3 linked regions of the Styela clava genome follow. Each later gene encodes a partner of the first gene's protein in a complex. Links are inferred from orthologs where the notes say so. Each region holds a gene or a part of one and is shown in the gene's direction. Other genes may lie near its edges.

Region 1 (8,725 bases):
AAGGAGGGTGTCGAAGTCACTAAAAAGTTGAACCTTAGGAGGACGAATTGACGAAATATCCCGATAGGAGTAACGTGGATGAGGTCACCGAAGACCGAGTAATGTGATTGAAAGCACTACAGATGGATGTAAAAGCTGTTTCTAAAAATAAGCTGAAGATTTTTTATGAGATTTGGCAGGTAGTGTCACTATGATTTCCCGGGAAGCGACTGTTTTTTTGTTTTGTTTTATACTCGATATAAGTGATGCTGAATTTTACTTTTATGGGGAATGACTGACTTGCAGGTGCCGAAGTGGCAGGGGCCTATGACTCCTGGATATCCAATTCGAATTCATAAGCAAATATCGCGACCTTCGTTTTTTGTGTTTATAAGAATACCGAATATCGCGCACACGTCCTAGCGTTAATGTCCACGTTTTGATAAAAACGATTATTTTATTTTTTATCATATTCGAAGACAGCAGGCCTGGGCGGCGCGGCAATAAATTACAGCCAAAATCAGTGGATTTCAATTAGCACCGACTTGAAGTTTTAATAACTCTTCGAAATTGTTTTTGATTGAAATTATTTTACAATTAGCATCGTATATTCCAATTTCCATTTTTTTCACGTTGCACAAGACGCATAAATCATCATTGTTACAGGATCTGTTGAAGCTAGGGCAGTCCGGGTAACGATACTGGTGATTTACGATGGTCCACAGTTTCAGCTTCGTCCAAGATATGATTTTTGGGGAAATTGTGAGTAAAATATTTTGTTTCGGCTTTCGTGTTCATGTATTTGAGTATTGCTTCCTTATTGGACACTTGGTGGACATAATGATCGTTTCAACATTATGTTATTGTTTTTGTTTTTCTTCTCCGTTGTCATAATAAAATTGCTCTTCGAATACAGGACAAATTGCTTTGAAATTTTCAGTGGTTAAAGATTGCTTTGCCAGAAGACTATCACTTTCACTTATTTTAAAAATTTCTGTGAACCTCAAGAGCTTTCTTTTCTTGTGTGCAATATGTGTTGCAATAAAAAATAGCGACAACTTGTGGCGTTTCCATATATTTGAGCATAGCTCTCTTGTTTTTTATTATTATAATATGTAAGTATATCAAATCGAGGTCGTGAGCACTGAACTAAAATGACAAAATGAGCATGGACAGTGCACTAGCTAGCAGGCGTCTCTAACCAGAGACAATGCATAACAATGCGATGTGACATTCATGCTCTGATGAGGTATAACTACGTTTATCTCTGTGGAAGGTATGCCAGCAAACATCACGGGCGTAATAAAAATAGAAAAAATTAAATATAAGCTTAGTGATTGTCGAGAAACTTGATTAACAACAAATTTAATCAGTACAATTGAAGTTTTGGGAACAAATTTTGGCTCTGAAATTTTGTTCACACCTATGCATAATCGGGAGTTTGATGGTGTCTATATTAGATTGACAGAAGGCATTTTTGAAGAAAATAGAAGTAGCACACATTTTTATTCTATATGATAAAAAAATATAACTGAAGACATCTGAAATGGAAAAGTGCTTGAACAAGAATTATACTAAGACGCACTAACCACGTATTTTACTTCGAAATATCAGTGTAATACATCGACAGACTGGTCTTGTAATTGTGAAAACAAAAAGAATGCTTATGTACGTTTCCATTTAAAATTTATTTAAAAAAAACCCGCATACAAAATTGAATCACGGTCTTGGATTAATTGGCATAAAAAGCGAAATGGCAAAGAAGAAGCATCAGTATAATATACCGTCTAATTACCTTTACAGTATTCGTCTAAGGTGGATCCGAATTACAAAAATTGCACTACATTCGCCATTTTCTACCCTCTCATTTTTTTTCATAATACGTCATCTCAGCCAACGTCGCCATTCAGCTTCTTCTTTGCCTTTTGTTAGGTAAAGTAAATGTTCTGTTTTAATTGCTCGGCGGTGTTTCGCGCTGAGCGTTAGGAATACGCTCGCTACCGCACCTGCGTGGGTTAGCTGGTTCGAATCCCGCGCGGGATGAGAATTACCGTGTTTCCTCGAAAATAAGACCTAGCCCGAGTTTTAAAGATAAGACCTAGTCGATAGTGCGAATTTGTTTTCCTGGCATAGTCGATGGCAAGGAATCTCTCCTATACGTTTCAATAAATAAATAAATGAAAATTTTAATAAAAACGTGTTATTAATAAGTAAATGGATATCGGTTGTTGTCATATTTTGTATATTCGAAAAATCTCGTAATTCTCCACTTTGTAATTTTGTTTTTGATAAATGATAATAAAAGACATTCCCCAAAATAAGCCCAAGTGTTATTTTTCGGAAGAAAGTTAAAATAAGACACTGTCTTATTTTCGGGGGAACACGGTATATGCGAGGCGAGGCGCCGCCGCAGGCTGGTTCAAATAACCGCTGGTCAGTTACGACTTTCTCAACCATCAAGTCCATGTATCTGAAACAAATAACTTGTTATTAACTAATCTCATACCCTACATGGACCGGTAACCGGACAAGTGACCGTGTTCCGCAAGATGTTTGAGCCGTCTAATCGGCTTTCATCTCCCCGGGATAAATATAGAAATGTACTGATATCGGCATTTATTTCGGTATTGGTATATGTTCGGTATCGGCTAATAATATGCTTCCGATTCTGCTGTTCAATGAGATCCAGAATGTTTTTAAAATGAGTTGGCATCCGAATGTTGATATCTGAAACAATTTTTTTTTTGTGGAAGGACCATGTTCGCGGCCAACCTGCTGCACTGGAAACGGGTATTATAACGTCACAATATCTGATACTATGATGTTTTATCATCATTTGAACTTGTTTTTAGATTCCAATTATTATATACTAAATATAAATATAATCACTAACAACAGAATTTTATGAAATATATATATTAAGAAATGTGACCTTATGTATACTGAAGTTTTCACACACTGTACACATATGTACACGGAATTTATTAAGAACGCCCTCAATTCTTACTCGTTTTGAGCTATTCCTCATCCAAACTACCTTCCCAATTAATTTATCTATTTTCGCTACTAAAATTGTGTTATTTAAATATTTGACAATAAAGAAGAAAAATATCAATCAAATATCACAGTGAATTTCCTCGTTGTGTGAAAATAAAATTTGACATAAAATTGTCACAAAATTCTGCGTACGCCACTATGGGTATTGGTTTAATAAAAGTGGTAAACATTTATCGAATATACCATTACGGTAGACAACTTGGTATGAGTTTAAAACACCGCTATTCCCAGCGCCCGTGCAAAACGAAACGTCTGCAGACACCTATATTAATATGTAAAAGAAGTGTCGAGTCCATATTTGCATACGTGCAGATTTACAAGGCAATTTACGATGCAATTAATTAAAGTAAGCTATTTTGATATGCCTTCAGTAATGAGTCAAGTGACACTCCATTTATGCGTCTAAATATTTTTTATTTGTGTTTCAAGCTGAAACTCAAGAACATGCGTTAATTATTGTTACATATTATCGGTGATGTCGACACCTTGAAATTTATCTGGTCTTTTTCATAGTTTGCTTATCCCTTAAAACTATTTTGTTCTAGTATATCTGAACTTATACCTTTGTCTGGGGTAGACAAATAATTGTTTGAAAGCTGGTATCGTTTTAGCAACAATAATATACTTTTTTAAAATCAATCGCGAAAATATACGAGATAAATGTTGGGGTACAATTTATCGTGATAGGCACAGCAGATCTTGACGCAAGATACGATGAAGTGTGATGGAGAATTGTCCATCGATCCCATACCGCGACGATAATATACTGAAAAGCCAGTCAGCCAATCGTTTATTTGTCATCACCAACGACTACCGGTAAATAACTGCGCAGAAATTCATGCATCAAATAAATATACTGATACTCTTATTTGTGTGACCGGAGTCGAGAGGGTCCTCGAGATGTCTTCAAGCAGCGACACCTACATCGCTAGTACAGGTTGGTGTAAACTCTAAAGTCTAAGGAGTACAAATTTTGACTATGCAGTAGTTGTGATAGTGAACATATTCTCAGAAGAACAACCTGGTTATTGGAAATAAATAATAATGTCATTCCTAGTGAAACAATTTTTGCGAAACAAATAAAAAAATGAAAAGTAAGGGAGTCAAATTGACAAAATTAACATAAAAGATTTTAGAAGTAAGTTTTATATAATGATTAACACTTTACTAATTTATCGGATATCCTCTAGACGCGACTGTTTGTATCGTGAACAACCACAATATCGTATTTTAATAATTTTACATTTGAAAGAAATTTATTTAGACGCAGCAAATCATCACAGCAGACCGAAATTTTCTTCTCAAAAATCATGGATTTCATTGAAATTATTTCTTAGGTCGAAATTAGAAAAATGGGATAAAATCTTCTTATATCGGTATTAATTTTTTTTTTTGGGGTCCTAACCACAGTGTGACCTTTTTTGAAATATGAGTACAGAGAATAGTTACAACACTAGGAGCGATAGCGAGGCTCGCCGAAAATTTTTCGCCCGCTTCCAGATTTATAGGCCGGCCTTACCTCAGGCTTCCGTGTTCGGCGGGATTTTGGCGCATTGGATTTAAATTCAAACGTGATGTCGGTATTATTGTATATATACATATATATTCAAACATAGCTTAAATATGTTAAAAGTTTTAGTTTGATCTATACTGGCAATGAGGTACTTGTAATGCCCGATTCTGCGATTCGAACTTGTGATTTTAACGTTCTGCAGGTCTGACGTTAGTAAAACATTGTCAGATTGGTTAGTCAGTTAGTGGATGTGTAAAATCTGATAATAGGATACCTATACCGCAACAATCAGTTGTGGATTCCTGTGTTCGAAATACCTGAATACAGCACTTAAATAGCCTAGGATTTGTAATAGGCAGATAGGTGTCAATATTTGCTAATCATACAGTCGTATTGTTGTACTGTATCTAGTCAGGTAGGTATAAAAAATAGTCAGTTGTCTTAGGTACTAGCATAGAACAGTAGAATTACCATGGTCTAGCTCAGTAAAGAAGTAATAGTAGTAGAGTAGAAAAATCTGGATGTTGTGTTTAAAAAATATAGTAACTTAATTTTTTTTCAGGATTTTGTGTTTATTTAATTTGGATTAAAACATTGCTTTATTATTCTGAAGTTTTATATTGATTTAATGTAAGTTAAAAATAAATTACATATAACATCAACATTCAAAGGCAAAGAAAAAATGAACATATTTTAAAACAAATTGTTATTAGAAGTCATTTATTGAAAACTGCTTTTTTTGCTTGAAATCAATTTAATGGGAGTAATGGATTCAAGCATTGACATTGACACATTTCTTCGATCATTACGTGCTACCAAGCCACCATGGGAGTGTCCGAAATGTCAGAAGATTTATAAAAGTTACTCTGGAATGGAATATCATATGCTTAAATTTGATCATGATGCAGCTCCAATGACCCCAAGCCAGAAACCCACACCGTCAAATTCAAATCGAAAAGGACCTCGCTCAAAGTTTGCCATGAAAAAGAAAGGAGGACGAATGAGTGCTAATACACCTAGACGCTCTCCATCTCCTATTGGTTTTGCATCACCAGCCCGAGAGACTCTGACTTGGGCCGAAGCTCAAAGAATGGTTGAAGTTGAATCAGAAGGAAAAATTTATAGGTATATAACTTAAGCTTTTGCTGTGCTGAATTCACTTTAAAACAAAATGAAAAATGTAATCTATATATTTTGTTTCAACTTCAATGGAGTAAGATTCCACAAATTGAAAACATTTTTATGTATTAGACTGATGATTTACCTACCTTGAGTCTTGATTAAAAACTAAGATGTCTAGAAAAGATTTTATATCATGTATATTTTTTCTATTGCTTTTCGCTAGATTGGACATAAATGAAAAACTAGACGTCATCTCGGATTCTGATGTTGATAAAGATGATGACAGTAACAGCGGAAATTCATCAGACGGAAGTTCAGATACTCAAAATCAAGAAGACTCAAAGAAAAACATAACTAAAGAGGATGGAGGAAACAGTGGACCGGCAGGGAAGAATGGAAAAAGCAAAACGGGAGGGAAACCCGCGGTCAACAGCAAAGACTTGAAAAGTGTGACTCTTCCTATTCAACGAGATGGAAATTCAGCAGAATCAAAGCCAGTTGAACCAAAGCTTCCTGTACCATCGTTTCGCGTCGTCTCTGCGTATGGAACTGAAGCAGCTGATGCTCCAGAACGTCGTATGGCTTATTATCGATATATTGAAAGACCAGTTGAAGAATTGGCAGAGGAGGTAATTCATGTTTATTGTAATATCACCTTTATTATTGAAGAAAAGAAAGGATAGATTTGAGCACGAGTGTGCAATAGGCGGCCCACTGCCCACAACCCAGCCCTTGTCAACACTCATGATTTTCCCCAACCAGCATAAAATCTATTCCGACAATTAATGTTTCAAAATGTGCTCACAGATAAAATATGTAAGCATTAGGCGCTCCTCTTCTCTTGCCTTTCCCCGCTAAATTTTTTGTCTGTAACAGTGTGACCCGACTAGATCTCTGAAGTTAGTTATATGGCCCACTGACGAAAAGTGTTACACACCACTGGTATAAAGTATTTGTGACCATTCGAAATTTAACTATTTTTGAGAATCACTGGATGTGGTGCAGTTTGTTTGGTTGACCCGTATTTCATTATAACACGAATATTTATTCCTTGCTCCCGTGTCGTAATATGGTTGAATTCAGTCATGATAATATTGTTTGAAGCCCATCTATATTATGATAGTATGGTTTACTTTAATAATCTCCCTGACGCATTTTAATTTGGACTATTCTCTAATTTCTTTCAATTTTTGTTCATTCTAGGTTGAATATGATATGGATGAAGAAGACTCTGTTTGGCTCGAACTTTTGAATGAAAACCGAAAAAAAGAGTCATTGCAAATCGTTTCCGCTGATCAATTTGAACTTTTGATGGACAGATTTGAAAAAGAATCCTATTTTGAACAAGCAAAAAATGGGGATCATCATCGTGCACAACAAATGATTGACGAGGACGCCGTATGTTGTGTGTGTAATGACGGCGAATGTCAAAACTCAAATGTCATCTTATTTTGCGACATGTGCAATCTTGCAGTCCACCAGGAGTGCTATGGGGTCCCTTACATTCCTGAAGGACAATGGTTATGTAGGAGATGCTTGCAATCTCCGTCTTGCCCAGTTGATTGCTGCTTGTGCCCAAACAGAGGTGGAGCATTCAAACAGACCGATGATGGTAGATGGGCACATGTGGTTAGTAGTTAGAATATTGGTGTTAGAATAATCAAGAATTCAACATAATTCAAACTTTTGTTATTCAGATAAATGTTTGAATTTGGCACAATCATAAGTTTTACTGCACTGATGATTATGTGCATATATAATGTTAATTAACAATAACAAACTGCTCGAAACAGATTTTTGTATTGCCAAATTTTATTGATATGTATTTCTTTTAAAGCCAATTTATGGAATACTGTCCTAATATATGATTGATACTCGATGCAGTGTTTGCACATGAATATAATATACATTCATAAGTAAAGTAACCTTTAAAATCCTCTTATTGCCTATTTCGATTATTTTTGGACCTTATATTTGATCTCAGGTCTGTGCACTTTGGGTTCCTGAGGTGACATTTGCCAACACTGTGTTCTTGGAACCTATCGACGGATTGAAAAGAATTCCAGCTGCAAGATGGAAACTTTCTTGTTATATTTGTAAACAGAGAAATTCTGGAGCTTGCATACAATGTCACAGAACAAATTGTTACACTGCGTTTCATGTCACATGTGCTCAGCAGGTACTTTTCAAGGCTTTCGTGTGCTAGGAAAACTTCGTTTTTAATCACCTGGACTTTGTGATTTTTTTAATTTTTCTTTTCAATCATTACGCATATAATAGTATAGAAAGTGGATGGTTAGTAACCAGCTACTCTGGCATAACAATAATCTAATTTTCAAACGATTTTCCAAGGTATCTTCCACACCACCACTTATGAGCAGACACTCCAATATAGTCCTCGGCGCTATGGAGTCAAGCCAGAGTTTGGTATTTTAATCAATAGTTTATTTTCATGGGAATAGGTAGTTTGATTGAAAGTTCCCAGCTGATGCAGCACAATGCCTACAAGCTCAAGTGTTTTTATATAGTAAGAAACTGGAACGGGGGTTGATTTTTCGAATCCATGATTTGTGAGCTGGAGGCAGAACGAGAATTATAGTCAATTCTTACTGGACAAGTCAAGCGGGACATTTCTCAGAAATCACAGCCCTGTTATTGTTATATTGTTAATTACTATAGTCTGTGAAAACAGGGTCTTGAAAATTTCACTGATTTTATGGCCATGAATGAATTAACTTCATCATAAATCTGATATAGTTCGGGAGTTTTTCAACGTGCACAAATTTTTACTCTTTTGCGTGACTTGTTCTTTGTCATTTTACCTTTGACTATAGATTGCTTCCTCTATTTAGGCTGGTCTATATATGAAAATGGATCCAGTTCGGGAAACTGGAAAAAATGGAGTAACAGTCACAGTGCGAAAGGCAGCATTCTGCGATGTTCATCGGCCTGCAAATGCGACTCCTACTAAACCACTTCGAAATACATTCGAGTTTGAAGAAATGGATAAAGAAAGAGAAAAACAAGCTTTGTCTGATTCAAGAGAAAAAATGA
Region 2 (8,167 bases), on another chromosome or scaffold:
AATACAATTGTCAAATACTACAAATAGGCCGCGAGCCGAGGCCCTGAAAAACGCCTAGAAAGTGAGTTTCGTAGCGCACATCAGGTAATTACCTGAAAATGATTTTAAAATGTTCCTTAAAAATTTAGTAACAAATATTGCTTTGCCACTTCCAAAAGTTGCACGTTTTATGGAAAAGACGCTTTTACTGCAAGAAATATGTGCTACGATCTGTCCTATATTCTCTACATTTTCGGCAATGACTTCTGCATGACGTCACAATTGAATCGAATCAGCTGTTAGCGAGCGGATGAATATTAGTTATTACTGCTCGACCTTGCGTTGAGTTGGGCAGCCTTTCCATAGCCCTGTTTAGTTATTGGACACGTAGTGGACATAACGATCGTTTCAATATTATGTTGTTGTTCTTGTTCTTTGACACGTTTTTAAAAAGTCGCTTTTTTCTTCGAATACTGGACCAATTGCTTTGAAATTTTCAGTGGTTAAAGATTAATTTTTTCGCTAGAAGGCTATTACTTTTATTTATTTCAAAATTTTGCGTGAATTCTATGAAATTTGATATTTCGTCTAAAATTTTGCTGTATCATTTTTTATCCATGGGAACACGGATTTTAGTCAGTGTCATGACTGGCTGTACGTTTTGATTCTGCAAAATTCTTGCTACTGGAAATTCAGAACTTTTTTGAGGGTACCGGTAGCGTCAAAGGTACCGGTAAGGACTGATTCGCTCTGGTCTGACGTGTCCATATATTTGTGCGTAGCTCTCTTGTTATTAGTTGAGTTATCCTGAGACGTTGTTTAAAAAATGTATAAGTAAGTTATTAAACACTTGCAGATCTTTACCACCGATATGGGCCGTGAGACGAAGCCTTGAAAACGCCCAGAAAATGAGTTTCGTAGCGCACATCTGGTAACTAAATAAATTCGTCAATTTTGTGTGAAAATGAACATACTGAACTCATTACAGCTTGTTCCACAATCCTGATGCAAAATTGAATATAAGAGGTTCCCGGAAATTCAATAACCATAAGTTTACAACACATACATAAAAACTATGCAATTCGAGAGCCCTACAGCACACTAACACAAATGTATTCCAGTAATGTTTTTCCTATCAAAATCGGACTTCCTCAGTCAATCATAATTTAATAGGTAGATTACGAAAAATACTTTAATTGTGTGACAGGAGTCGCGAGTGACCTCGAAAGCAGCGACACCAACAACGCTGATTCACATTAGCGAATAAATTTTATGTAATAACCACAAGCAGTTTACAACAAGAACAGCATAAAAAGCTACATCCTTTTTATAGAAGCTATCAAACGTAATCATTTTTGAGCAATGAAGTCACAAATTAACATCGTGAGCACGAAAACACAAATAAATCAGTTATTTCTCACTTAGAAATTTAACGGAAAAGTCAAGAAAATTAAATGAATGTACAATATGTACATAACATAGTGAACAGAAATATAACAATTAGTCTTTTTTCAGTTTATGTGGTTATGTATTTGAACAAAGGCAATATTATTTCTAGAAACAGAACTACGACACTAACAAATGTCCGAAAAAAAAATGATAGGCCCTACTTAATAAATCAACTGCAATATCTAATTCACTTTCCTCTGAATTGTTTTCGAAATCCACTCTCGAAAATCGACTTTTCCTATATAAGTGTACTGTGATTTTTGCAGTACAAAAACAAAAATCTGTGCAATTTAAGTTGATTTTGGCACACTTGCATAAATTATTTTGACTATTTTTCTTACACTTGCAGTTTGCCAACTCAAGAACTGATTTGAGGGCCACATGCTTCTTCAGTGAATCCTTATGTTTGTCAGTGTTAAATAGACATGCCCTGGCCCCTGGTATCATTTACATTCTTCATATCCCCATAGTCTACAGCAGGGGTTCCCAAATCCGGCCCGCGTAACAATTTAAAATGGCCCGCCGAACTTGAGTAAAACGATGTTGTTATGTCATTACCACAGTTTAAGCATGTGTTTATCGCGTAACAATTCAAATATGCCGATATCTCAATAATACGTACCGGTATTACCATGTTTCCCCAAAAATAGAACAGATTATTTCAATTTTCTTTCGAAAAATATACCTAGGGCTTATTTTCGGGGCGTGTCTTTTATTTTCATGAGTCAAAAAAAAATTACAAAGATTTTCAAATATAAAAAATATGAAAACCAATATCCATTTACTTAAATGGCACGTATTCCTCTTTCACACTTGTTAAATTAATCATTTACAACGTGTATGGGAGATTTCCTGCTATCGACTAGGTGCTACTGACTATACGTCTTATTTTACGGTGAGGCTTATATTATAATCATTCTTAAAATTCAGGCTAGGTCTTATTTACGGGATTGGTCTCATTTTCAGGGAAACACGGTAGGATTACAAAGAGCAGTAATTAAGTTATCAGCCATATAAGAAAGCTTACAGATGTCAAAGAAACAAACAAAACTAGACTTTACAAATAGACGTTTCCGGGATAAATGGTAGCTTTCATATTTTCGTATTGCAAAGAATCAAACTTCAGCGATTTGTCTTTCTTGCCAATGAAATATTCCAGTTCTGAAGGAATACGACATAAAGCGCCATTGTGAGTCAAACAAACAGATTGCAAAAAATGTCAAATGGAAGTGAATCCACTGAACCCCAGCTAAACCGCCGCGAACTTTCGGGCGCTAAACTCTTCCGGCCCGCGAACATTCTCCCGATTCTAAATTTGGCCCGCGTCCAATAAAGTTTGGGAACCCCTGGTCTACAGTGAACAAACAAATTCCTCAGCTTTATTTATTAATGCCTCATTAACCTCAAAAGATCTTCATAGTTGAGAAAAAATTAATTGAAAACCTCAATGAAGTCTCCAACATGAGTTTGATGGGCAGTTTCAATTGCAGAAAAGTGCTAAAGTATTTCAATATGAATAGCCCATCTAAGCTGTTTGCAACTATTATGATTCTCATATATCTATACTCTTCAAGACTTCTTGTTTAATCCATTTTATAGCACTGATAGCAGCAGGGATTAGAGCCTGCGTTAGGTCGGATTGGTGAAACATTGCCGTTTTCTTTTATAGTACAGTATCTAAAATGAGGAAGAAAATCATATTTGGAACAGCATGAGTGTAAAAATACCACTAAATACTAACTAATACCTTGAATACATAATGCATTTTATCTGATGTACTCAATGAGCGTATATATGCTCATTGCATGTACTACAGTCCAGCAGTGTTTGCATACCATTACTAGACTATATCTCCACTAAATTATGATATATCACAGTCTGAAATGCCCTATGACAGTATGAGTATGGACTATAGACTATATTTTAAAACATCAACTGTCTGTCTACAACTTGGTTTCTCACCTCTAAATCGTTTCCAATGCTACTTTCTTTCTTTCCTTCCCGGCATAACTTATCATTGCTTCCCAGGTTCTTGTCGACTCTATGAATTTAGATTTAAACCAACCGACATTAGTAAAATTGATTATTTTCTTCTCTTTCACACAACTGTGCATTACAGAAACAGCCATTAATTTCTATTTCCAAATATGCTGTGGCCTATATAGTAGTAGTATAAGTCTGCTGAATAGTCAAGAAGAGTCATTAAATTAATCATAAACATTTCACGTAAGCCAGAAAATATCGTTGTTTGTGACCTATTATTCTAGGTCTAGCCTTTCTTGGAGTTACCGCACCGTACCAATTTATCAACGTGTTATGAGCTAGTGCTCAACTAAAATTGCTATTTATGGTAAGGATATACAAGTGTTTAATATCTTGCCGTACTTATAGTTTTCAACACCTCTTTAGAATAACTAAACTAATAATAACTGAAAAAAACTATGGAAAGGTTACTGAACGCAAAAGCGAGCAGTAGTAGTACATCTGATATTCATCCGACCACTGGGGATCCACCTACAGCTGACTAATTTGATTGTTACGTCATGTAGAAGTCTGCGTTTATTGGCCCATGATACCGGAAAAGCAGAGAAAATAGGACAGATGGTAACACATATTTATTGTAGTAAAAGCGTCTTTTTTGTAAAACGTGCAACCACCTACAGCTGACTAATTTGATTGTTACGTCATGTAGAAGTCTGCGTTTATTGGCCCATGATACCGGGAAAGCAGAGAAAATATGACAGATGGTAACACATATTTATTGTAGTAAAAGCGTCTTTTTTGTAAAACGTGCAACTTTTGGAAGTGGGAACAAGGCAATATTTGTTACTAAATTTCTAAGGAACATTTTAAAATAATTTTCAGGTAGTTACCTTATGTGCGCTACGAAACTGAAAGATAAATTGCCTCGGCTCGCGGCCTAAAAAGACCCTATTTATTTGCATCTCTTCAGGGTAGTTATGAACGTTTTGTAGAGAGTTGCACTGTGAGATCCAAAACTATGGAATCAATATGTTTAACTCCTCTCAATTTGTTGTATAATCTTTCGCATGTAGTTCTGCCGACTCCATTTTTTTTATCTCGCAGGATAGGATTTTCAAATTTCTTCTGGAAAAGAGAGACATAGGTGTGGCCAGGGAGGGCGGTGGCCCCCATTTTTTTTTTGAGAAGCTATTTTACAGCATCTAAAGTGGCGCATAAATTTGTATGTCTCTTTGTCAACACCATTTTTCTTAGGCTCACTATCTATAATCCTTCATTCAAATGAACCAACCGGGATGAATGAAAAAACTTAGACAGCGAAGCAAGTTTGTGGAGATATTCTTCAATATGTTATGTTGTTAGATATCTGCTTTCATCTTCGGCAAAACGAGCCATCCTGTGGCGGCGGGGCACCTTGCACTTACCCAAAGTGTCTATAAGTGTTATAGTCACCTTGCACTCACCGTAATTATGCAAGACTCCTTACAACAGAATGGTATCAATTGAATTTTTGCGGCCGCCCAGACAGATATTCCAGCGTGGGTGAAAACGATGCCTCTTTTTTCAAGTGCAGTTTCAAGTATTCTGTGGCATCTGCAGCTGCCGCAAAACCATGGCGGTATTTTCATACCATGGCCGCTACGGCCAAACTCATGGCAACTGACTTTTTAGCTGCCACAAACCAATGTCGAGCTGCCGTCACCGCGGCAGGTGGGCCGTAAAGACTGGGCTGTCTATTATGGTGACAAATATTGGGTAAGTTGGAACGTTTTTCTTATGGATACAGTTTTGATTGATTTGGGGTTAGGGTTAGGGTTTAAGTAGATATAATTCCACATGATCAATTAAAATCTGGTACATTAATTTGTGAATATACCGTTAATACTGATTACTGAATAGCGCTATAAAACCATGGCAAGAGCTGCCGCGGTTCGTTCGTGGCAGGAGCTGCCATGAAGTGGTAAGAACTGCGCCTCTTTTTTTGTGATTTTGCGTATTAGTTTTCAGTTGTGTTTCCAAAAATTAGTTGTAAATCAAATAGTACCGTATAAAAGTCGTTATGCTTTCCACAGAGCTTTAGTTTAGTTGCAATAATCAAAAATTAGTCTCGAAAAAGCTGCGATGGTCTACCGTACCGGCACCGGTACGTACAGGCTGACAGGGCTAGGCTAAAATTAGATACCGGTATCTGTGAGCGGCACGTGGTTAATTGTTTTTAACAAAAATAATGCTTTTGAACATATAGGCCAGTCTAACAGTATAACAAGTTTATTTATAAGTGCAAACTCTTCAAAAAAAATCCAATTCAGCGTCAAAAAATTAGGGAGAATATTTTTGGGGCCACTGGGTCAAGGGTAGGGGAAAACCTCAATCGTAGAAGCTTATGATAGTCTATGTATTTTCAGTTTGACTCGACTCAACCCAACCTACCAATTTTATTCATTACTTGAAATATAATACGGTATCAGAATATAGGGCAATAATTCTGTTTTTTTTTAGGTCTATCATTGAATAATAGTGTATCGCATATATTTAGTCCATGAGTATTTAGGTATTATAAAAGTGTAATTTATTTTTGGCGAAGTAATAGTTTAAATACGAATGATATCAAAATGGGCAAACATAGGCACATATATGACAAAGTTATAAAAAATCATAATGCATAATGGGTTGCCACTTTGGTATGCGACCTCACTTGTTCAGTGTGATCTCAATTGTATACCAAAGTGGTGCTTCATTCAGACATTCTCATATATTTCAGCTCTTAACCCTAACTAGAATCACTGCTGCACTGAGATCACATAAATGTTGATAGATAGATAATGATTTATTTCCGATACAAGTACATAATACAATAAGCATGAGCAAATAACAATATTTGCTGTATAATATATGTTGAAATCCCATACCAATATAACACCCAATTTTCTTTGGCCATTATAGCTTTTGCTTCAATATAACCTAAATCTAGGTGCTTAGTCTTTCTAATTCAATAATTGATTCAAAAATCTGAAAATTTGGAGCAGGCTAATCATTTGCACTTTTAATTATTTGATATTTCATTTCTGAATGATTTTCATTTTAGCTTGGGTTAAACCTGCAAACCAAAGAACAAGATTTTCATATGGTAGTTAATATGTCATACAGTCATATGTCTTCTGTTTCAGTTTTCAATATGTCTAATAAAAACCAAGGATCCAACACCAGAGCAGAACTATCAGAGTTAGTAAAGCGAAAAGAAGAAATAACTGAAACTTTAGCAAATCTTGAGCGCCAAATTTACGCTTTTGAAGGAAGCTATTTGGAAGATACTCAACTCTATGGAAACATCATTAGAGGATGGGACAGATATTTGACAAATAATAAAAACACTAATAGCAAATCAGATCGTAGAAACAGAAAATTTAAAGAAGCTGAAAGACTTTTTAGTAAATCTTCAATCACATCTGCGGCGGCTGTAAGTGGAGTGGATTCTCGAAAAGATGGAGACTCTAGTTCAAGCAAAGAAAAACAATCTAGAGAAAATGGAGGAAACAAACTGTTAAAACGTTCAGATTCAAATGGCAAAATTTCCACATCGAGTGTTAAAAATAAAAATAACTCGGAAGATGGATATAGTTCTGTCAGTACCCAAGACTCTGCATCTGCAAGCAAAGATAAAAAGCGTAAGATTCGGCAGAACAAGGTCGACAAATATGGTAAAAAATCACGCTCTGGGGAGAGCTGATATTATTTTGCTGCCTGCTGTGGTTCATAAATTTGACTTAATTTCCTGAATTTATTGTTGACTGTGAAAAGTTTGAAAATACGACCAGCCAAAACTATTTAAAATTTAGGATTTTTCGTGATTAATCATATGGGAGGAACTCTCTCTATCTTGTCCAGTCACCATGTCAGTCAGGGGTCAACCAATCAATCTTTCCTTGGATGTTGGAGGAAAACCTACTCAGCCAATGTATGGATGCATGAACTCTATCGATGAGTCCAGAAAGACTTTGCATCCATCTATTTAACTATACCAGATTTTACATTGAATTTATCCTGATAGAAGTAGAAAACACATTCATTGCTTTTTGCTCTTATTAAAATTTCAGTCTGCAAATGTATATTTGCCATATTTTTTTTAATTGTTAATTTTAGAATATGGCCATCCCTGGTATTTCTGAAACTCTGTAAAAGCCACTCAGATGTACCGGTAGTACTACAATAACCTTATCAACATACCTTTGGTGTGTGTGACTGTGAGACGTGGATTTACTATTAACAATATAACAAACTGTACAATTGTTGGTAAGAAATCAATCTGAATTGAAGAATCCGGTTGATGCTGCATATTTTTATAAATTTTGTCCTTTTCATATTATCAATTGTGCCTGTGTTTCATTATCGATATTCGATGTTTTTGATTTATATAGTGACTAACATTATTAGATTGAGTCTAGCTTAATGCTCAGTTCTTGAAAATGACTCCTACAGATAAATCAAAGAAATCATACATGAACATTGTGAAAGAGTGGTTTACAAATTCATCGAAGAGGTAAGCTATGTGTTTGTGTGAATTTTCTATCTCTGCCAGGTTGTAATAAATTCGGTAGGCAATGCCGAACCAAGTAGGTAGATTACAGTCCTTCCAAACTATCATAGTTTCTTACATTTTAGTGTCCTTGTTCATGGAAAAGGCTGATGGGTCACCCAAAAAAATCTTCAACATAGCTGCGAAATTTGATTATAGCGCTACTTTGGACCATCTTGCAAG
Region 3 (7,758 bases), on another chromosome or scaffold:
TTGAATTTGTACAACTCCATATATATATATACTTTCTTTATTATAGTCTCATACAGTGAGTGATAGCTGGATTTTGATTTTTCATCGATGATTAACGGCAAATATAATTTCTTACCAGCAGGTCTGGATTTGTTACCGGCGCTATACATGTCATAATTGTAGCATCATCACAATCGACTTGTTTCTGTGAAATTTGAAGCTAGCGAATCTATTAATTTATCAGAGCAGAGTGACAGGTAGTCTTCAACAAAAAGATGAGCAAGTTTAAACTCTCGAAGTCTGACTGAAAAAAGTGCTAATTTTGTTTTGTGAAAATACTATCATCTTCATCTTGTTGCTAATTAGGCGTCATCCGTAGAAATACTTCGGATATCAGATGTTCGGCAATTCAAGTTGTGTGCGAGCGATAACTGTTCTATTTTGAATACTTCATTCAGAAATTGCATGGTTTTAGGGATTAATCTAATCTTTGTTTGCTTTCTTTTCTTCTTTTTTTCTTACTTTATCTTTATTTTTTTTTATCGTTCATAGGCACGCATAGGGTGCCAACCGTCCTTCATTTCAAAGGACAATCCTTTATTTGAGATTTTTGTCCTTGTCCTTTTTAAGATGATAATTGTCCTTTATTTTTTCCAACGTCGTTTTGCCCGATAGTTATAGTACTGTGTTTGATATTGTTTCGTTCTTTAATCGCCTCCGTTTCTGTATTTGCAAGCTTTTAATTATTCTTTTTAATTTCGCTTTGGTACGGCACAAATAGCCAATAGCCAAGAAATACCAATTTTATTAACAATTTCAAATATTTTACATTAATTTTCCGAAGATGGCAAGTGGCAACACTCCAAGATTTGAGTAAATTCTAGTTCAATAACTGAAAATTCTACGTATAATTGGTATCTAAGATTTTAGATTATTTCTCAACTCTGCGATAACGTATTTGGAAAAAAGATTTGACTCCGATGAAAATTTAACATTTGGAAAATTATCACTTTTGGATAATCTTTCTCCAAAATATCAGACCCTTGTAAAAATTGTAGAGCATTTGAAGCTAAAAAACAAACTTAATTTGAATATGTTTGACCTATTTGATGAAGTTGCACTCATTCAAAAAAAAATTTGACACGATTCAAAGCACTAAACTGTTCACAGAATGCAGCTTGAATGCAGGGTCAATGTTAAATAAACATTAAATGAAAAACAAATGGAGATTTTTTAGTATATATATCTTTTTAGCTTGTATATAATTTGTATTTCATTGTTTTATATTGTTCTTTCCTGTAAGTTACAAAATAAATGATGATGGTAATCTATGTTCTTTATTGAGAATTTTCATAGTTGGCAACCCTAGGCACGCATATAATTTTATTCGTGTCATATAGGCAAAATAGACTAGCTTACTTGGAAAACGTGTCACCAAATCGAAAAAGTTAGGTCATCTGACCGAAGTCAGGGTATTAGGACTGAGTTACCGGAAGAAAGGAATGAAGATAAGAAGCAAGTAGGCCAAATATGCGTGTATGATTTTTTGAACCTCATTAACCCCAGAAAATTCCTAACCAGAAAAAAATTAGCAAAAATGACTGAAGAATTCTGAAAAGTTGTATGAAGTACTCAAAGCTATCGACGGTAGGCGCATCGTCCCAAGCAATATGCTTGTCATGCGAATAATGAAAAAGTAGTCTCGCCACTTTCTTCTTCTTCGGGATAAATATGAACTTCTATCCTAATAAAAGTGCTCTTTGGGCTTTTGAAACTTTGCAAATAAGAAGCACGCTATGATAACAGTCTTGATGATCTCCCGTTCTGTCTGTGCGTCAAGTGAAATTTATTTTTTTCCAACCAGCAATAAACAATCGCATATAACATTCAGAAAAAAGCGAGATTATCATAAAATTTCACTGAGGAATCGAAGTCGCTGATATCCCACCTATGCACAACATTAGGCTGATATTACATAATTACTGTTTCAATTACCCTTATGTGGTTCTTATGGTTTATTTAATCAACTGTGAGTGTGATTAACATTTATCGATATTGCAATAAATTAATAAATTTGGAAATTTTTGATACTCCTACCACCAAAGTTTACGTTTGGGGGTTACCAAATTAATCCACTGATTTATATATATCTCATGTATTATCATTTATCATTCTGCAAACATTTCCATTCATTTTCTGCTATCCTATCTATGCACAACATTAGGTCTGGTGTTATACCACCCTAGTAACCCAAAACTGCTCCGCTAAGTGACTTTTGAAATTCATATGATGCTCCTTAATATAATTACATTTTCAATTACTGTTAAACGGTTGTTATGGATTATTTAATTAACTGTGAGTGTGATTAAAATTCATCGATATGCGATATCTTGATAGATTTGACCATTTTTTTATACTACTACCACCAAAGTTTACGTTTGGGATAGACTATGAATTATTGCAAGAATTGAAATGGTTTCTGGACTATTGTAACTGTCTCATATTTGTCTTTAATAAATCATATCTGCTTAAATTTGCATATGTCTATTTATGTATTATTGGAGTAGTATTTTTTTATTTTATTTTTTCATAGTGTTAAAATGATGTACTGATTGATTCTCATATATAGGCTCATTTAGAATTAAGTATCTATTTCGGAAACGCACTCCTCTTTTTCTACCATTAAATTAACTTAAAACAAAAACCACATTATGTTACTGTTATAAATGTGTCATTTTTCACAATAAATTCCCAACCCTGATTAGATGAATCCAAAATTTATCCTCGTTCTAATCAGATTTATCCTCGTTTTGTAAATAGTGTAAATAGTTCTCTATAAACTGAGAGTTAAATAAAAAAGAACCTGTGTCAATTTATGTATTTATTCATGTGTTGTATTGGATGGTAACTAACTCAGATGACCGTAACTGGTCGTATCGTTACCTCCCAGTCATACCGAAAACTTTTGTTTCACTTATTTTGTTATTATTATATTTTATATTATGTGTTTTCTGGTTGACGAAATAATAAATTCTCTCTCTCAAAGCGAGGGAATCGAGCAGCCACACCCGAGGTTCTAATATCGTATTAAAAAGATCTGGATTTTTATTCTCGGAACTACCGATGAGCACCGTATAATTTTGTCGAATTAAATACCTACGGTAATATATATTTCTAGAGATTGTCTTCAAGAGCCATCAGACCGCAGACGGACAGGGACATGAATATGTGTATATTTGAAATATTCAGTTATGTACGTACAATTTTAAATTTTTCTAATTCCAAAAAATATTGGAACTGTTGAGTGAAAATCCCATAAAAATTTTAAATTTCAACCAATCATACGTAAATATATACTACTAATTTCAACCAATCATACAATATACGATTTGTCGCAAGGTGGCGTAAGTAGGCCGCGTGTGTGATGATTTAAAATTTGCTCATCGTCTATTTGTGCCTGCAGGCGGGAAGGAAAATTTTTTATTTCTTTATTTTATTCTCAATACTCCGTATGATTATGATGGACAGGTGGTTTTTGTCTGTTTACTGAATTTACATTTCCACGCTGTGGTGTGTATCTTGATTTTTTAAAATTGTAGTTTATGTAGCTCAGTCACAAAATTCAGAAAATTTTAAAGTTAGGTACGGTACCGGCACCGGTACCCGCATTCCAGCATTTTATAATTCCGGTTCCGTTATTTCAGTATTCAGTTATTCTGAAATAATTTGAAATGTTTAGTTAGAAAACTTTTGTTATTCTGCCTGTCATGCTGACTCCCATACTGCCATAGCAAATACCGTACCCGTATGGCCCGGTACCGTACCGTACATAGACTATTTCTGTTTTTCAAGCTTTCGGCGAAATTTTGAATCAATTCTATAAAACTGTCCGAATGCATGGAATGTAAAAAAGTAAAATTGAAATCAGCATATAAACTGTATGAAGTCTGGGGGTCGAGAAGAACTAATGCAGCAATGGTTGACATTGTGGGTTATTTTGGGAAAATACTCATTTCAGTATTTTGATTTCCAATTCGTTTAAACTAATCGATACTGCGATACACAAAAACCAAATGGTTGGGTTCAACATAATTAAAATATTTATGTTAATTTACCGGGTCTGGTGTAGTTTCGTACCTAACGTACTTCTAGCAGGCGTAGCATAACAATTTTTTCACATGTCAATCCTAACCCCCACCCAGTACGGCACGCTATACAAATCGGGTGACAGTGTCCCGTTTCAGAGAAACCCATTTTACAGATGATCAGACGCCCCTTCTTTGGGAGACGTTTGGACATTGTTGTCCCTCAATATCGGTAATATTACAGTATAATGAAGTTGCGCGAAATACTACAAAAAAGCGCACTTTAGTAACGTCATCATTGAATTCCTGGGAAAAAAATAATCCGATTTTCCGAAGGAAAAAATTTTTTACCGTAGCATTCGAGAGTTTTTAGCAAAAAACGGTAATTTTGGTCATCTGACGGTCACGATTAATTTAGATTTTTATTGAGACAAGCATGGCACGATATGAAGCATCTGACATGGTCCCAGACGCTCCTCGTTTGTGAGACACATAGAGTGTTTGTTTTATTGAGCCAAATGGAGGGAAATTCTTGAAATTTGGATAGTGTGCTGTACTGCCACCTGACCACACCATCCAAAAATTACGTCACCACGACGTCACAGTGACGTAATAGAGCCCTTCAAATTATGCGGACTGTCATCCAAGACGCGCAAACGACTGTTAGGAGAGAGATCGCTGACGTTAGTCAGTTCTTTATCGTCGGCGCCGATGCCATTTCGGGCGATCGTACGAGTATTTGACAAGCTCTATGACGTGAAACTACACGAGACCCAATTTACCCATACTGGCATACAAGAGTCGATGGTCTGACATTACAATATTGTAAAAAATAGGAAATCAATTCAATCTGTACTGATGTATCACAATCACTGAATTATTTTGCAACTGATTCACCGTCCCAGATTCAATTTTCACAAATTTATGGAGATGAATACTGGAGTATAAATTCATTTGTTCAACGTCATTCAATTTAGTGATTGAGAATATATTTCATTTCGGAATAAATATCATATATTATTCGATTATGGTATCTCTTTTTTCATGCAGAGTTTCGTATTTGAAGAATTATAGATGAATTACCAGTACGACACAGTTCCTTAATTCCAAGAATAGCCTCCACATTAAAAATCAATTTAAACAATGAGTACAAACTCCTTCTTTTCAAGACAGTCTAGGCCTCCAAACACGCACTGTGCAACAAAACTAAATAAATATAAGCGCAATCTAAAAACATTAACGTTGGATTCTTAAAAAAAAGTCGAGTTTTTAGCAAAAACTGCAATTTTGGTCATGTGACTGACGAGGCACGTTGCGTTTGATTTAATTTAATATCGAGACAACAGACGAGCATGGCACGATCTGATGCATCTGCATTCTATGCGTAGTTTTGTATTTTTATAACTATCAATAAATTTTTTTTTTCAACTTTATCATTTTATTTTATTATCAGCTAGAATAATATATAAAGTATCAAAGATGGCTACCGCAATGTATCTGGAGCAGTATCTTGACAGTCTGGAAACATTACCTGCTGAATTGCAAAGAAATTTCCAACTTATGCGTCAGCTTGATGAAAGATCAGAAGAATTAAAAGTAGATATTGATAATCTAACGATGGATTATGTAGAAGAAGCAAAAAATCTACCACCAGATGTCAGAGTTGAGAGTATCAAAAAAATTCAAAATTCTTACGCTAAATGTCGTGAGTTTGCTGATGACAAGGTTCAACTTGCAATGCAAACGTACGAAATGGTTGACAAACATATCAGAAAATTAGACTCGGATCTTGCAAGATTCGAAGCTGATTTGAAAGAGAAATCTATTCATGATTCAAACGTCGCTGGGACTTCGAAAGCTGATACAGACAGCGGTCCTTCAGATAAAAAGCGTCGCAAGAAAGGACGAGCCGCGAACTCCGAGGACGAATCAAAATCGAGCAAAAAGAAACATAAATCCGGACTAGATCAATCATTGTCTTCTGTACCTCTCGTCTCTGGAATATCTGCGTACTCGAGTTCAGATGTTCTAGATATGCCTGTTGATCCAAATGAACCAACGTATTGTCTTTGTCACCAAGTTTCTTATGGTGAAATGATTGGATGTGATAATCCAGATTGCCCCATCGAGTGGTTTCATTTTGGTTGCGTTAATTTAACATCAAAACCAAAAGGAAAATGGTTTTGTCCGAAATGTCGTGAAGAGAGAGATAAAAAGAAACGATAGCTTTTATTTTCACCGAGAAATTTTAAAAATTACTCACTGGTAATATTCAAACGTAAATGTTTTTATGTTCAAAACTAAACTCACTGCCAGTTTTCATAGGCAGTTTGTTAGTAATTATTTTTCTATATTATCTGATAACTGCCAGTGGGTATTAATATTTAGATTTTGATTACTAGTCAAAAATATTTTGTATCAAGGCAACAATATTTTCAGAAATGATAAATATAAATTAACTAAAATGATTCATCCTGATATTCTGAGAATCAAATGCTCCGGATTCGAAGCTGTGTTTTCTTGAGCAAGTTTCCACTTCGTAATTTCACATTTTGCTATTTTGTCAACTTCCACTGCTCCACCACATTCATAAAAAAGGTGTATTCAAGTTGACTGTGTCTTAAACCGTGAGATGTAAAGAGCTACAGTTAATTGCACTTTTGGCGCTTGGTGGGTGCTGGTGAACACTGATTCTAATGAGCTGCTTTGTTCTTCGCTGAATATCTAAGTTCTCTGCATCATTATTTTATTGTATTTGTTGATTTTCACCCAAGGCAAGGCCGAAGATGCTGGAAAGAAAAAGCTAACTTAAAATGTCTAGAAGTGAGATGCAAATAGCTATTTCTTTTGTTTAGTGCTTGCTAGACGATGGTGAAAAATCATTTCCGTTAAACTGCCAAGTTGTTTTCGAAATATATGTTTATACTTGAATTGAATTCATTTATCCCTTGCAACATTTTTTATTGTATTTGTTGATTTTCATCATATATAATATCTTTATGTCTCATTGTTTTTGATATTTTCTCAGCCATAACATAATTTAAGTGATAATAATTTAGTGTAAGGAACAATCGAAATGGCTGATGTGCTAGATCTACATGAAAGCGGAGAGGAATTCGCCGCAGATGAGGAAGGAGATGTCGGAATTGAAAGATTGAAAGATCGTGCGAAGCGCAGAAAAGGTCGTGGAATTGGGGATTCTGAAAAAAGAACTGAAATCAAGTATGAAGCAATGGAAAGTGATCAAGATGGGCCTGGACCTCAACGATCGGTTGAAGGCTGGATTTTATTCGTTACTGGCGTGCACGAGGAAGCAACGGAAGACGACATGTTCGATAAATTTGGAGAATATGGAGAATTAAAAAATTTACATCTAAATCTTGACAGAAGAACCGGATATTTAAAAGGATATGCCCTCGTGGAATTCGAGACTTTTAAAGAAGCACAGGCTGCTCTTGATGCATTGAATGGGAGTGATTTACTAGGCCAAACGATGTCAGTAGATTGGGCTTTTGTTAAACCGTCCCAAAAAGATAGGCGGGACCGTAGGCATCGTCGTCGTTGAAAATATTAAAACGATAAATCTATGCTCGATGGTGCTGTGTGTAGTAATAAGACAAATCTGCTCAATAAACTCAAACTAAAGGCTACACTATGATCATGCTTGTCCTTTCAAGTTTAATATTGAACTGAG

What was found.
Region 2: peregrin-like (region 1) and uncharacterized protein LOC144411641 share a complex: the UniProt entries of both Drosophila melanogaster proteins name them as parts of the enok complex. The link is inferred for Styela clava from reciprocal best matches to the Drosophila melanogaster genes Br140 and Eaf6.
Region 3: peregrin-like (region 1) and inhibitor of growth protein 5-like share a complex: the UniProt entries of both Drosophila melanogaster proteins name them as parts of the enok complex. The link is inferred for Styela clava from reciprocal best matches to the Drosophila melanogaster genes Br140 and Ing5.

The regions. Positions count from the first base shown.
Region 1 is NC_135258.1:15,526,055-15,534,779, reverse strand, and holds the start of peregrin-like, read left to right. Parts: upstream 1-5,146; 5' UTR 5,147-5,306; coding exon 5,307-5,674; intron 5,675-5,894; coding exon 5,895-6,300; intron 6,301-6,874; coding exon 6,875-7,300; intron 7,301-7,655; coding exon 7,656-7,850; intron 7,851-8,523; coding exon 8,524-8,725. UniProt on the Drosophila melanogaster protein: Scaffold subunit of the histone acetyltransferase (HAT) Enok complex which has histone H3 acetyltransferase activity.
Region 2 is NC_135251.1:16,251,942-16,260,108, reverse strand, and holds uncharacterized protein LOC144411641, read left to right. Parts: upstream 1-5,048; 5' UTR 5,049-5,166; intron 5,167-6,578; 5' UTR 6,579-6,586; coding exon 6,587-7,138; 3' UTR 7,139-7,176; downstream 7,177-8,167. UniProt on the Drosophila melanogaster protein: Component of the Enok complex which has a histone H3 acetyltransferase activity. Might be involved in transcriptional activation of selected genes.
Region 3 is NC_135251.1:10,587,348-10,595,105, forward strand, and holds inhibitor of growth protein 5-like, read left to right. Parts: upstream 1-5,500; 5' UTR 5,501-5,543; coding exon 5,544-6,290; 3' UTR 6,291-7,092; downstream 7,093-7,758. Other genes in the region: RNA-binding protein 8A-like, read left to right, coding at 7,141-7,629. UniProt on the Drosophila melanogaster protein: Component of the Enok complex which has a histone H3 acetyltransferase activity.